2 linked regions of the Arabidopsis thaliana genome follow. The protein of the gene in region 1 interacts with the protein of each later gene in a pairwise test. Each region holds a gene or a part of one and is shown on either strand. Other genes may lie near its edges.

The links.
Region 2: the proteins of PIP2;8 (region 1) and AT3G59780 interact in a protein complementation assay, tested with the Arabidopsis thaliana proteins (one large-scale study listed by BioGRID).

Annotation. Positions count from the first base shown.
Region 1 is NC_003071.7:7,299,640-7,304,255, reverse strand, and holds PIP2;8 (plasma membrane intrinsic protein 2;8), read right to left. Parts: upstream 2,923-4,616; 5' UTR 2,610-2,922; coding exon 2,330-2,609; intron 2,101-2,329; coding exon 1,805-2,100; intron 1,432-1,804; coding exon 1,291-1,431; intron 1,196-1,290; coding exon 1,076-1,195; 3' UTR 747-1,075; downstream 1-746. Other genes in the region: AT2G16860 (GCIP-interacting family protein), read left to right, coding at 1-117. UniProt on the Arabidopsis thaliana protein: Aquaporins facilitate the transport of water and small neutral solutes across cell membranes.
Region 2 is NC_003074.8:22,084,319-22,091,118, reverse strand, and holds AT3G59780 (Rhodanese/Cell cycle control phosphatase superfamily protein), read right to left. Parts: upstream 4,787-6,800; 5' UTR 4,561-4,786; intron 4,456-4,560; 5' UTR 4,214-4,455; coding exon 4,169-4,213; intron 4,006-4,168; coding exon 2,998-4,005; intron 2,902-2,997; coding exon 2,801-2,901; intron 2,702-2,800; coding exon 2,587-2,701; intron 2,436-2,586; coding exon 2,358-2,435; intron 2,191-2,357; coding exon 2,098-2,190; intron 1,987-2,097; coding exon 1,903-1,986; intron 1,810-1,902; coding exon 1,711-1,809; intron 1,599-1,710; coding exon 1,536-1,598; intron 1,460-1,535; coding exon 1,429-1,459; intron 1,319-1,428; coding exon 1,272-1,318; intron 1,189-1,271; coding exon 1,130-1,188; intron 1,033-1,129; coding exon 795-1,032; 3' UTR 590-794; downstream 1-589. Other genes in the region: SAC9 (sacI homology domain-containing protein / WW domain-containing protein), read left to right, coding at 5,445-5,463, 5,557-6,152, 6,274-6,406, 6,517-6,800.

The sequences.
Region 1 (4,616 bases):
ATCGATTCCATCAACGACAGAAACGAGCATTTCAACAAGAAAATCGAGCGTGCGTTTGGGAAATACACGCTGGAGATCAAAAACAACTTGGAACGAGGAACTGCATTACCCGACTAAGCTACTTGAGCTCACATGTTGGAAACAAGGGAATGGATTTCTGGTTCGAAAGTAAACTATGCTGTTGTCTGATTAATTGTCCTTAAATTATCCTTCTTGAGAGAACTAAATTGTAGAATGAACGTTTCTTTAGCCCACTTTGAAATTCAAACAAAATTTCTGTACCAGCTCTCGCTAGAGAGAACAAACGGTAACAAGAAAAAAGTTTTAGCTTTTTACTTTTTCTCTTTGTTTCTTTGTCAAAAATAGAATCAGCTGATGTAGCCAAACTCGAGGACACACAACTTTGGTAAAAGAAAATGTTTTGAAGAAATCTGCTTAAATTTAAGGTTTGGGTACGAATTCCGGTTATTATCGAGATGGATAGACTAATGTGTAAAGTGGTCTATGGTGAAGAGTGTGGACCCTTTAGTGTGGTGGTCCTTTATCTTTTTCTCTTCATCTCCGTCTGCTTTCGAGCCCTTTTCGAAATTTTTGACCTCTTTATCAGAAGGACCACACACACTTCTCTGTCTCTACAATTCTGAAAAGACGAGACGTGATAATGCTTATTGCTAAACTCCAATCCTTATTGCATGCCCCAAGGCTTTAGCTATTATAGTCTATTATTATTCTAACTAAGGAACATGTGTCAATATGTCATATGTGAGTGGTTTATGATCCGACCACCGGATAAGAAGAATCAAGTAACATAAGACAAAAACACCAAGGAATGTTTTATACGAACATGCATGTGGGTTCATATAAACTTGTAACAAATGTTTTAATTCGTACTAAAGTATAAAAGTGAATCATAAGATGCCCTACATGAAAGAAAGCAACGGACAAAGATGAATTAAACCAAATTAAACTATGAAAATGAATAAATCCGATTACATCAAATTAAAACACACAAATATCTCTCATTAAGCACACAAAAAAAAAGATCTCAAATTGTTCTAAGAAGTCTCATGAATCATCAATTGGTTGGGTTGCTGCGGAATGAAGCCAAAGCTTTGATTGCTGCAGCTCTCAAGATATATTGATGGTATGCTGCTGCTGCTAATGCTCCCACGAATGGTCCAACCCAAAAGATCCACTAAAAATTCAAATCCATTAACCCAAAACTTAATTAGTAATTATTCAACAAAAAAATAAGTAAATTGATTGTTAATGAGAGAGAACTATATTTACATGGTCGTCCCAAGCTTTCTCATTGTTGTAGATAACAGCAGCACCAAAGCTTCTGGCTGGATTAATCCCAGTTCCAGTTATGGGGATAGTAGCCAAATGCACCATGAACACAGCAAACCCTATAGGTAACGGAGCCAAAACCTATAAAAATAAAAATATTCAAAAGACTTTTTCAGAAATTAAACAAACCCATGTGAAATCATAAGAAAAAAAATTCAAAAGAATTCAACTTGTTAAAAATTACAAAAATCCATGTCAAACCCTACGATAAATATTCAGAAAAATTCAAGTTTATTAACTACACAAACCTAAATACCTAGAAATATGTTCAAAAATTTCAATCATGAAAAAACAGTAAAGAAAAACCCATCATGAAATCTATGAAAAATTTAGAAAAGAATAACTATTTTTAGAAATTACACAATCACATTTTGAAACCATGAAAGAACAGTAAAAAATTCAGCTTTAGAATAATTATAAATTATACAAAACTGGTTTGCAAAGTTTTACTAACCGGGACGTGAGAGTCACGGGCACTTCTTTTGGGGTCAGTGGCGGAGAAGACAGTGTAAACCAAGACAAATGTGCCAATAATCTCAGCACCAAGAGCAGTTCCGGTGCTATAACCATCAGCTACGGTGTTAGCTCCGCCTCCGAGACGTTTATATGGAGTCATCATAAAGGCCTTAACGAGTCCAACTCCACAAATGGCTCCAAGACACTGAGCCACCATGTAAGCAACTGCTCTAGGGAGCGACACTTTACGAGCCAAGAACAGACCAAATGTCACAGCTGGGTTAATGTGACCTCCTGCAAGTTAACAACTCCATATTAAGTTGTTGAAGATTAAGGTTTAGTAATTTTAGGATAAAGTTTTGTTGAAATATTTTACCAACTTGCTAAAAAGGTATTTTACCAAACAAAAACTTGCTAAAAATGTATCTTTGAATTATAAATGTATCATTGCTAAACAACTTCATATTAAGATCTTGAAACTGAAGTTTATGGAAATTTTTGTGGTTTTTGTGGAAATATTTACCGGAGATACCGGCGGTGCAATAGACGAGGACAAAGATCATGCCACCAAAGGCCCACGCAATGCCGAGTAAACCAACACCGCCACAAGGACCGGTTTGGTTCTTGTGGCCAATGACTGTAGCTACGGTTACATAGAGGAAGAGGAGAGTGGCGATGAACTCTGCGATGATAGCTCTGTAAAAAGACCAGAGCTTAAGCTCAGCCATGTCTAGAAGTGGAGCTGGAGGTGGATCCACGTAGTCTTTGCCATGTCTTCCTTCTTCACTCACTTCTTTTGACATTTTTCTTAGCTCAGCTCTAAGATTTCTCTCTCACTAAAAAGATTAGTTTCTCTCTCTAGTTATGGAGATTTCTTGCATCTTGTGTGTTGCTTTATAAGAAGAGAACATGGAACATAAGGGTACTTTTGGAATATAGGTAATAAATACATTTTGTTTATAATCAAATGGGAGACCTACAAAACCTAAAAGCCAGTCATATCACAATATCCAGGTTTGTTAGGTTTGTAATACTCTGAAGTCTGAACACTCTCATGTAATTGCAATACTCTCAATTTTGTGAAACACACTCCTACATTCTTAAAACCGTTTTCAATCTTACTAGTAATACAAAATACTAATAACCAATGCATGACATAAAAGCTAAATATTGTATGTACTGTAACATTAAATAACATAAATATAATGAAAATAAAACAAAAGCCATGTCGTGTCGTAGCTTTGGTGTAATGAATAAATAAGGTAAAGGAGATTGAGAGTACAAATTGGTGGGACATAGAAGCCGTTGGTCCATGTGAAGGTGAGAGAGATTTGTCATCCAACTAAATGACTAATCACCAACGGTTATATTTCTTTCTTTTCCCTATTACTATATGAACATACTCTCTTTCTTTTGTTTCTTTTTTGGACATAAGTTTCAACTATCTCGTCGTATATTACAAACTATCTGGTGTTTTACAAAAGTTAATTAAGAATTTAAACATTCGTTTCTAACCACTAAGACCATCTCCAATTTGGGCCAGCACTAGCCCGTGCCTACGTGTATGATATTGAAAGATTGGCCTACGGCCTATAATTACTACAAAAAATCAAAGACATATTTTATGAGTAGAAAAACTTGAATCACAGCTTTTTTTTTTGTGTACTATCACAGCTCTTAGTGAAAGAGTTAATGGAAGTTTTCAAAAATAGTAGCTAAAATAAAAAAATATGGAAATATAAGAATAATCAATTGGTAAATATCCTTTTCATTATATTTGTTTCATCTAGTATCATTTTATTTTATTTTCAAAATAAACAAAGCATGTTTTAGAATTTGACAAACCATGCGCAGTTTGTAACTACAGTAAAACCTCTATAAATTAATAATGTCAGGACCAAAATTTTTTTTAATTTAGAGAGATATTAATTTATCGATAAATTAATAATTATTAATTTATGGAGATATTTTACAAATTTGTAATTTTTTACAAAAATTTGATCTAAAAGGTAGTTTCTCTATACACTCAATAATTTTTCTAAAAATCAATTACAAGTAGAAAACCTTTATTATGTTTAAAACAAAAAAAAAACTTTTTTATACGTAGTAAAATAATTAGAATTAAATTTTACACAGAATTAATATAAATTATATAAATTGAAGAAAAATAATACTAAAGTCATATTTTACTAAGTTTTACATAATATTGATGAGACCATATATTTACATAGGATTTTCAAAAAAATTATTATCTTATTAATTTATCGATTTGTATACATTTATACACTGGTCCCAACTCGGGACAGGAAGAATTTATTAATTTATAGAGGTTATTAATTTATCGAATATTAATTTATAGAGGTTTTAAAATAGACTTGAAATTCTAGATTCATAATTATATTTTATTTTGAATTATGTTTTCGATTATTTTTTCTACCCTAGTTACTCTTTTTTTGGAAGATGATGGCTATTAAATTCTTTAACATGAATTGAAGAACGAAGATCCCAGCCTCTATATAGGTATGCCTAGATCTAGTTTGTTAGTATTTGTTTGTTGATCCTGACTTCAAATTCGATTATTCACTGTGATTGCTTTTATGCCTCAAGACACTTGAATCGCATAGATCTTGCTAAATTTGGATATCGAGTATGTAGAATTTTGTTGGATTGATTAGGTTCGGTCGAGATGTCTTTGATATTTATCTGTTCTCCTCAATTTATTTTTGTATAGCAATTAAGCTTTGTACTTACAGAAGCAGCAAGTTGACGCCAAAAGTTAATGACTCGAATTGTGCATGTGTTGTACATCA
Region 2 (6,800 bases), on another chromosome or scaffold:
GGTAAAGAGTAATATAACGATGCTATATGAAAAGTAAAAATTCAAAGCCACGAAAGTAAGATCAAAACTAGATGGAAATACAGTTTTTTAAAGAGAAGAAACGTTTTCACTCGTCGTCAACTTCATTGATATGGCTTCAGCAGCTGAGTGAAGTGTACGAATACGGTCAATCAAGTTAGCTTTCCTCACATTCAAGGCCAAACAAAACTCGATAGGAAGAATGTAAACAGACACCACTAACAACTGGGAATGTGATGAACTAATTAAAAGGATACAAATCTAACAACAAACCGATACTTTGGAGTGTTGTATTTGTTCTTGTCTTGATTAATAAGACGGATTCTGGCACGATTATCAGTCTTGCCATCTATATTAAGAAAACACGAGAACTGTCACAACAAAATGTTAGCTTTTGATTAAACAAAAAATAAATGTTTCTATCTGTGTAGAATGATTACCTCTTCTTCTCCTGGATTTGACCTGACCCCTGAGTCAAGGATGACGATTGCTTTTTCACTAAACCCTAAGTATGCCACTTTAAGGCCTTCTGTTATTGGGCCTAAAGCCCAAAGTTATTAGGGGAGAAATTGCTGTAATAATTTTACGTGTAACCTATAACTTTTGACCCAATTTAGCTAGTTCTAAATTTGCAAAACAAATCTCAGCATCCGAACGAAAAGAAAACAGTTTTTTTTTATTACACTTTTTCTGTTGCCGATGTTAACGGTTCCAAGAGACGAACAAAAGTAATTCTTGGCAATTATAAGAAAAATAGAAAACAATTTTCAGAGTCTTTACGCTTCGGAGACATCAACGTTGTTCAAAGCTTCTTCTGGTGACGATGATGCATCTTGGAGACTTTCAGAAGTTTCATCAGAGGGTTTCGATTCATGCTTAGCAGCAGCTTGCAAAACCCGGCTTCGAACATCTGAAGAAGAAGGCGAAGTTGGGAGGCCAACACCATTTGTTTCTAGTTTTCCTGCAGCCCACGAGAAAGCCTGAGCTCCGAGTTTCACAGGTGCAAGCAACAGCCTTGAAGAAGAAGATGAAACAATCTTTGTTAAGACAGAACAGAGGTTTCGCTGAGTTTTTGCTATGGAAAAAGGGTCTAATGATGGCGCTTTTATACCTGACGTCTTGTTTGAAGTCTTCGGAGTCATCATATGAAGAAAGTCGTAGGTATATAGTCTGCATAATGTTTGAAACTTGAAAAACAAAACAAAGCAACTATAATTTGACAAAACTTAGAAACTGGAAAGGCTAGTATATACCAGACTAAGGCCGATGACAGCTATGAGTTGCAGTGTTTTCTCCCACTCTGCGAGAGATAGAGCAATCATGTTAGTGCAAAACGTGGATGTGAGGAGCTTGTGTGTTGTGGAGAATATGAGATATTCTAAAGGGGAAATGAGAAAGAATTAAACGCACCAGACAAAGCATACAATGCTGCGAAAAAACCCTGCATATATCTTCTTATATTAGTCAGGATGGGATTATTATTAAACGGAAATAGAAAAATAGAACTAGAAGCATACCACACCAACTCCAAATAGTTGCAATGGAGAGGGATTTATGTCCTCAAAAATCGCCTCAGCTTCCTGAAAAGCATTTAAGATATGTTTAACTTACTGATGAAAAGATTTGAGAGCAGTTTCAATTTCATCTAGCTGAAGAAACAGTCCAAACATATTTGTATTCATATGGTATTACCTCGTTGAGGATGGTAAGTGTTGTCTCAGGTTTTGGCTCTTTCACACGAAGACCTTCCTGTACCCATGATCTATACCCACCTTGCATCAAGTATGGCCTCTGTCACATCATAGGCAACCAAAGAAGAGCTTATTCGAAAATGTTTAAAGGTAACTTATTGTGTTCAAAGTGAATTATGCCTGAATGACTTGCCTTAATCCCAACTTTTCTCAGGGCTCTTGCAATACCCTTTGAACGAGTTCCATCAGCATCCATAACAACAACCTTGGACCTGTCCTATTAGTGGGAGAGTAAGCAAAATTATGAGATGTCAGCATACTTAGAAACTGAAACAGCTCGAGCCACAAAACCATAGTAAGTTACAAAAGAAGCATGAAGGTAGCACACCTGAACTATTTTCAAGTTCTTGATGATTACTGCTGTCAAGATATCATCTACTTCACTTCCACCTTTCAGTAGCCGTTTGACATCACCGTCAACCTTAAACATGAATCAAGAACAAGAACCCATAAAAAATGTGAATAAAGAAAAGTCTGATATCCTACTTCTGTTGCACTGATTGCTGAAACCTCGTTGTGTTCATAGATTACATGTGTAGAGTTTCTATATTCGCTGTGGTCAACAACAATGAGGATGCTAAAACCAACCTCAGGCAGTGTCACGCTAGAATATCGAAATCGAGCTGATCTCCGCAGATCAGGTATTCCATCTTTCTCTCTCAAGGCCTTCAAAAAGACAGTAGCCAAAATGAGCATTTTTATTTCAACCCAAACTCCTTGATGAACATTATGTGAAAGAAATAATCAAATTGTGGTGGGTTTTGAAAAGTTATATATCATGAAATGGGAACTTGTTAGAAACTTAAGAGCGTCTTACTTCAGGCCTGACATCTATGAGCACTGACTTGTCTCTTGATTTTAAAAGGTCCAGAGTTGACTTGGGAGACAAATCTCCAGCATATCCACCATATGTCCAAACCCGATATAGAACCCTGCAAATATCTGGTGGAAAATATAAATTCTTCTATACTACATTGTCCTCTCAAGAAAAGCAAGTTTAATATCCTTCTAGGGTAAGAAAAGCCGTGTACCAAAAGGTTCCTGTGGTGCCTACGAAGAGAAAAAGGTGAAGGATTGGGTCATCTGGATCCAAACCGATATTTCTCTCCAAACCTCCAATGGCAACAGATACCTGTTCATCATGATACTGTTAGCAACTGTAGTCCATAAAGAATTAATTTTCTTCTACGAAAATATGAATGAACCTTCAGTATATAAGACAAAGCACCTGCTGCAATACAGCTCCCACGGGACTCAATACTTTTAGAGCAACATCTTCTGACGAGTTAAGGGCACTCTTTACATCTGGAGGAAGTAATTCTTTTGCTGATCCATAAGAGTACACAACAAAAGAAACTCCATTTGTTACAGATCTCTCTCCAAGACTAACTGATTGCCTCAGCAGATCAATGGCAATAACAGCTGCTCTGTTTGAAGCTTCCTTCAAGCCAGTAGAAAAACTCGAAAACTTGTCTCCAGCTACATCTCCCGTTTGGTCTAGCGTAGAAAACGCTCTGTTAACTGCACTATCTACAACTTCAGAAGCATTCTTTGTAATGGATGTCACAGACGAGGAGAAGGACTCCAAAGTGTTCTTTACAGCATTTTCTCCTTGGTTAAGTGAAGAGCTGAAGGACTCCTTGACCCCAGAAGAAAAGTCATCAACGCTAGCTTTCGCATCAGGAAGTGAAGAGCTGAAGGACTGCTTGAGCCCAGAAGAAAAGTCATCAAAGCTAGCTTTCGCATCAGGAAGTGAGACTGAACTATCCGGAGATATTTTAACAGTCGCATTGGTTCCCGATTCAACAGAGTCTATAAGGCTACTGGTCTTATCGGTTAAAGTCTCAGCAGAAAGGCATTCAATGGGGGAAACATCTGGTACAACAGCTTCAACAGGAGAAACATCTGCTGCAACAGCTTCAACAGGGAACACATCTTCTCCATTTTCTACATATGTCAGTCCCTCATCACTCGCTACAAAAGCTTCACTCATGTTATAAACCATGTAGTTTATTCTGTCCAACTCATTCTGGCACAAACTTCCGAATGTTGATACTGGTTGTTCTGTTTTTTCGATAGTACCGGTCAAGAAACTCCCAGTGGCTTGAGGTACGAAACTCTTCTGCAGGCGTGTTCCATTAGAGATACCAAAGAAGGCATTGTCACCTGAACTGTATCTGTGAATCAACTCTCTCCTGAAGGAAGAACAGCCTCGCCAATTGCCAGGAAATAAAATCTGCAGAAACAAACCCGTTATGAGGTACTTACTTATCTATGAAAATGAATCCAAAAACCCAAAGCACTAACAAAGCGTAACACCCATAGCTCAAATTGGATGACTTCAATAAATTTGCTACCAGTTAGCTTATTTACTTTCACTTCTATAAAGAAAATCTAACCTGAGAATGGTAACGGCAGCTTGTGGCCGAGCACAGGGGAAACATGTTGGTCAGTCTTGGATTCTTACAGCAATCTCATAGCTTTCACAACATACCAGAAAAGGAACAAAAAAATACAATTTCAAAGAGAAAATGACGATCCAGTAAATCTGAACCGGAATAAAGAACGTCCTAATGAGAACAAAACAAAAATCACAGACCAAGAAGAAACAGTGTCTCAACAAGAAGAAGATTCAGACAAAAAAGACTCCAGCAGCAGATTTACAATAATGGGTGTCGTCTGAAACCTGCAACAAGAATACCCATTATTCAATTACTGAGTCTGAGCATGTTTGGAACCTTGAACAACAGAAGCAGTTCAAAGAGAGATCAAATGCAGTAACTTTAATAACCTATCAGGGTCAAGGTCGATGATGATGAAGTTTCATGAGAAGAGTGGACTGAGCTTGATGAAATATGTTAATGGCGACTCGATTGAAAAAAGATAGAGGCGCGTGGATTCGATAGAGATTGTGTCTCAATTTGGATTGGGTGGAGCAAGATAAGCAAAGCGAATCGTGTGGCTTGTCCAAAGCCGTTAATTCATCATCTCTATACTTTATTTTGTCTTTTCTTTTGATTGGGTCTATTCGTTACATTTTAAAACTAATTGGACCAATTTTCAAGTTATCAATAATTTCTTCTCTTTTTTCATAAATCAATTAAACAGATTCACACGTGTCGTACTATGATTGTTTTTGTACTGTGTGTTGGGTAACAGCAGATTTACTCTTCTTCCTCTTCGTTTGTTCGTCTACGAACGACTTGGTAAATTTTGCATCTGATCATCTCTACAACTTCAAGGTGAGTTCCTTCTCTTATGACTTATGATTCGATTCGGGTTCTCTGAAGAATTTATCTTTCTGCTTTCTCGGAATTTGAATTATCGATTTGCGTCTTTAATTTTGCTATTCTCGGAAAAAGTCTCAGATCTCTGGTACTCGTTTTTTTTATTACTTCTATCGAAATTTGTGAGAAAATTCTGATCTTTTGTCTCAGTTATATCGGAGATTATTGTTAGGAAGATGATCTCTCTGTTTTGATTTTAATTGGCGTTGATGAATCGTTTTAAGTATAGAACTAACTATGCTACATTTTTTGGATTCCATTGCTTTTTATTTCTCTGATGGAAGTTCCTTATTTCGTTGACTTTTTGCTAGATTTTTGGTTCCACATTGATATCTTGGTCCCTGAAGCTGTCAAAGAGGGCACCTGGTCCGCTTGGTCCTGAGCTCAGATGGATCTGCATCCACCAGGTTAGTTTCTTTTTGAAGATTCAAGTGTTTTTTTTTTTCACTCTAGCTGTTTTCATCATTTGGTTGGCTAATTTTCTTATCTTCTTGGTGTAGGTGGTTCAAAAAAGACATCTGTAGTTGTTGTCACCTTAGACACTGGTGAAGTCTATGTCATTGCAAGTTTGTTATCTAAGGCTGATACTCAAGTTATCTATATCGATCCTACGACTGGTATCCTGCGGTACAATGGGAAGCCTGGCCTTGATAATTTTAAGTCAGAGCGTGAAGCCTTAGATTATATTACGAATGGATCAAGAGGAGGTGTTAGAAGCTCTGTTTATGCCAGGGCAATACTCGGTTATGCTGTCTTGGGGAGCTTTGGGATGCTTTTAGTTGCGACCAGGCTAAATCCAAGTATTCCAGATTTGCCTGGTGGTGGATGTGTATATACAGTGGCTGAGAGTCAATGGGTCAAAATACCACTCTACAATCCACAGCCTCAAGGGAAAGGTGAAACCAAGAATATTCAGGAGTTGACTGAGCTTGACATCGACGGGAAGCACTATTTCTGTGATACTAGAGACATCACTCGGCCCTTCCCAAGCCGTATGCCACTTCAAAGCCCTGATGATGAATTTGTTTGGAATAGATGGTTGTCCGTGCCTTTTAAGAATATTGGGCTACCTGAACACTGTGTCATTCTTCTGCAGGTTCGTCCTCCATTAATGAATTGATGAAGGTTGATCTACCTATCCGATTTCGGTTTTGTGTGAAGATTCAAAAGCATATAAATTGATATGACATCATCTTCTTATTTGATGTTAATTATAGGGGTTTGCAGAATATCGACCTTTTGGGAGCTCAGGCCAGCTAGAAGGGATTGTTGCTCTAATGGCCCGTCGTAGCAGACTGCATCCAGGGACTCGTTACCTAGCTAGGGGCATTAATTCATGTTCTGGCACAGGTGACATGCCCCCCTAAAATGCTCCTCTCTCTTAATTTCTTTGTTGTTCTCTTAAAAAGTGTGGCTCTGGATTGACTAGGGCCTAATTTAGAAGTATATGTGTAGTGCAGGTAACGAAGTTGAGTGTGAGCAGCTTGTATGGATACCTAAAAGAAATGGTCAAAGCATTGCTTTCAACTCGTACATTTGGCGACGTGGCACCATACCAATATGGTGGGGTGCAGAATTAAAGATGACTGCGGCAGAAGCAGAAATTTATGTGGCAGATAGGGATCCTTATAAAGGCAGTACAGAGTATTACCAAAGGTTAAGCAAGCGATATGATACTAGGAATCTAGATGCACCTGTTGGAGAAAACCAGAAGAAAAAGGCTTTTGTTCCTATTGTGTGCGTT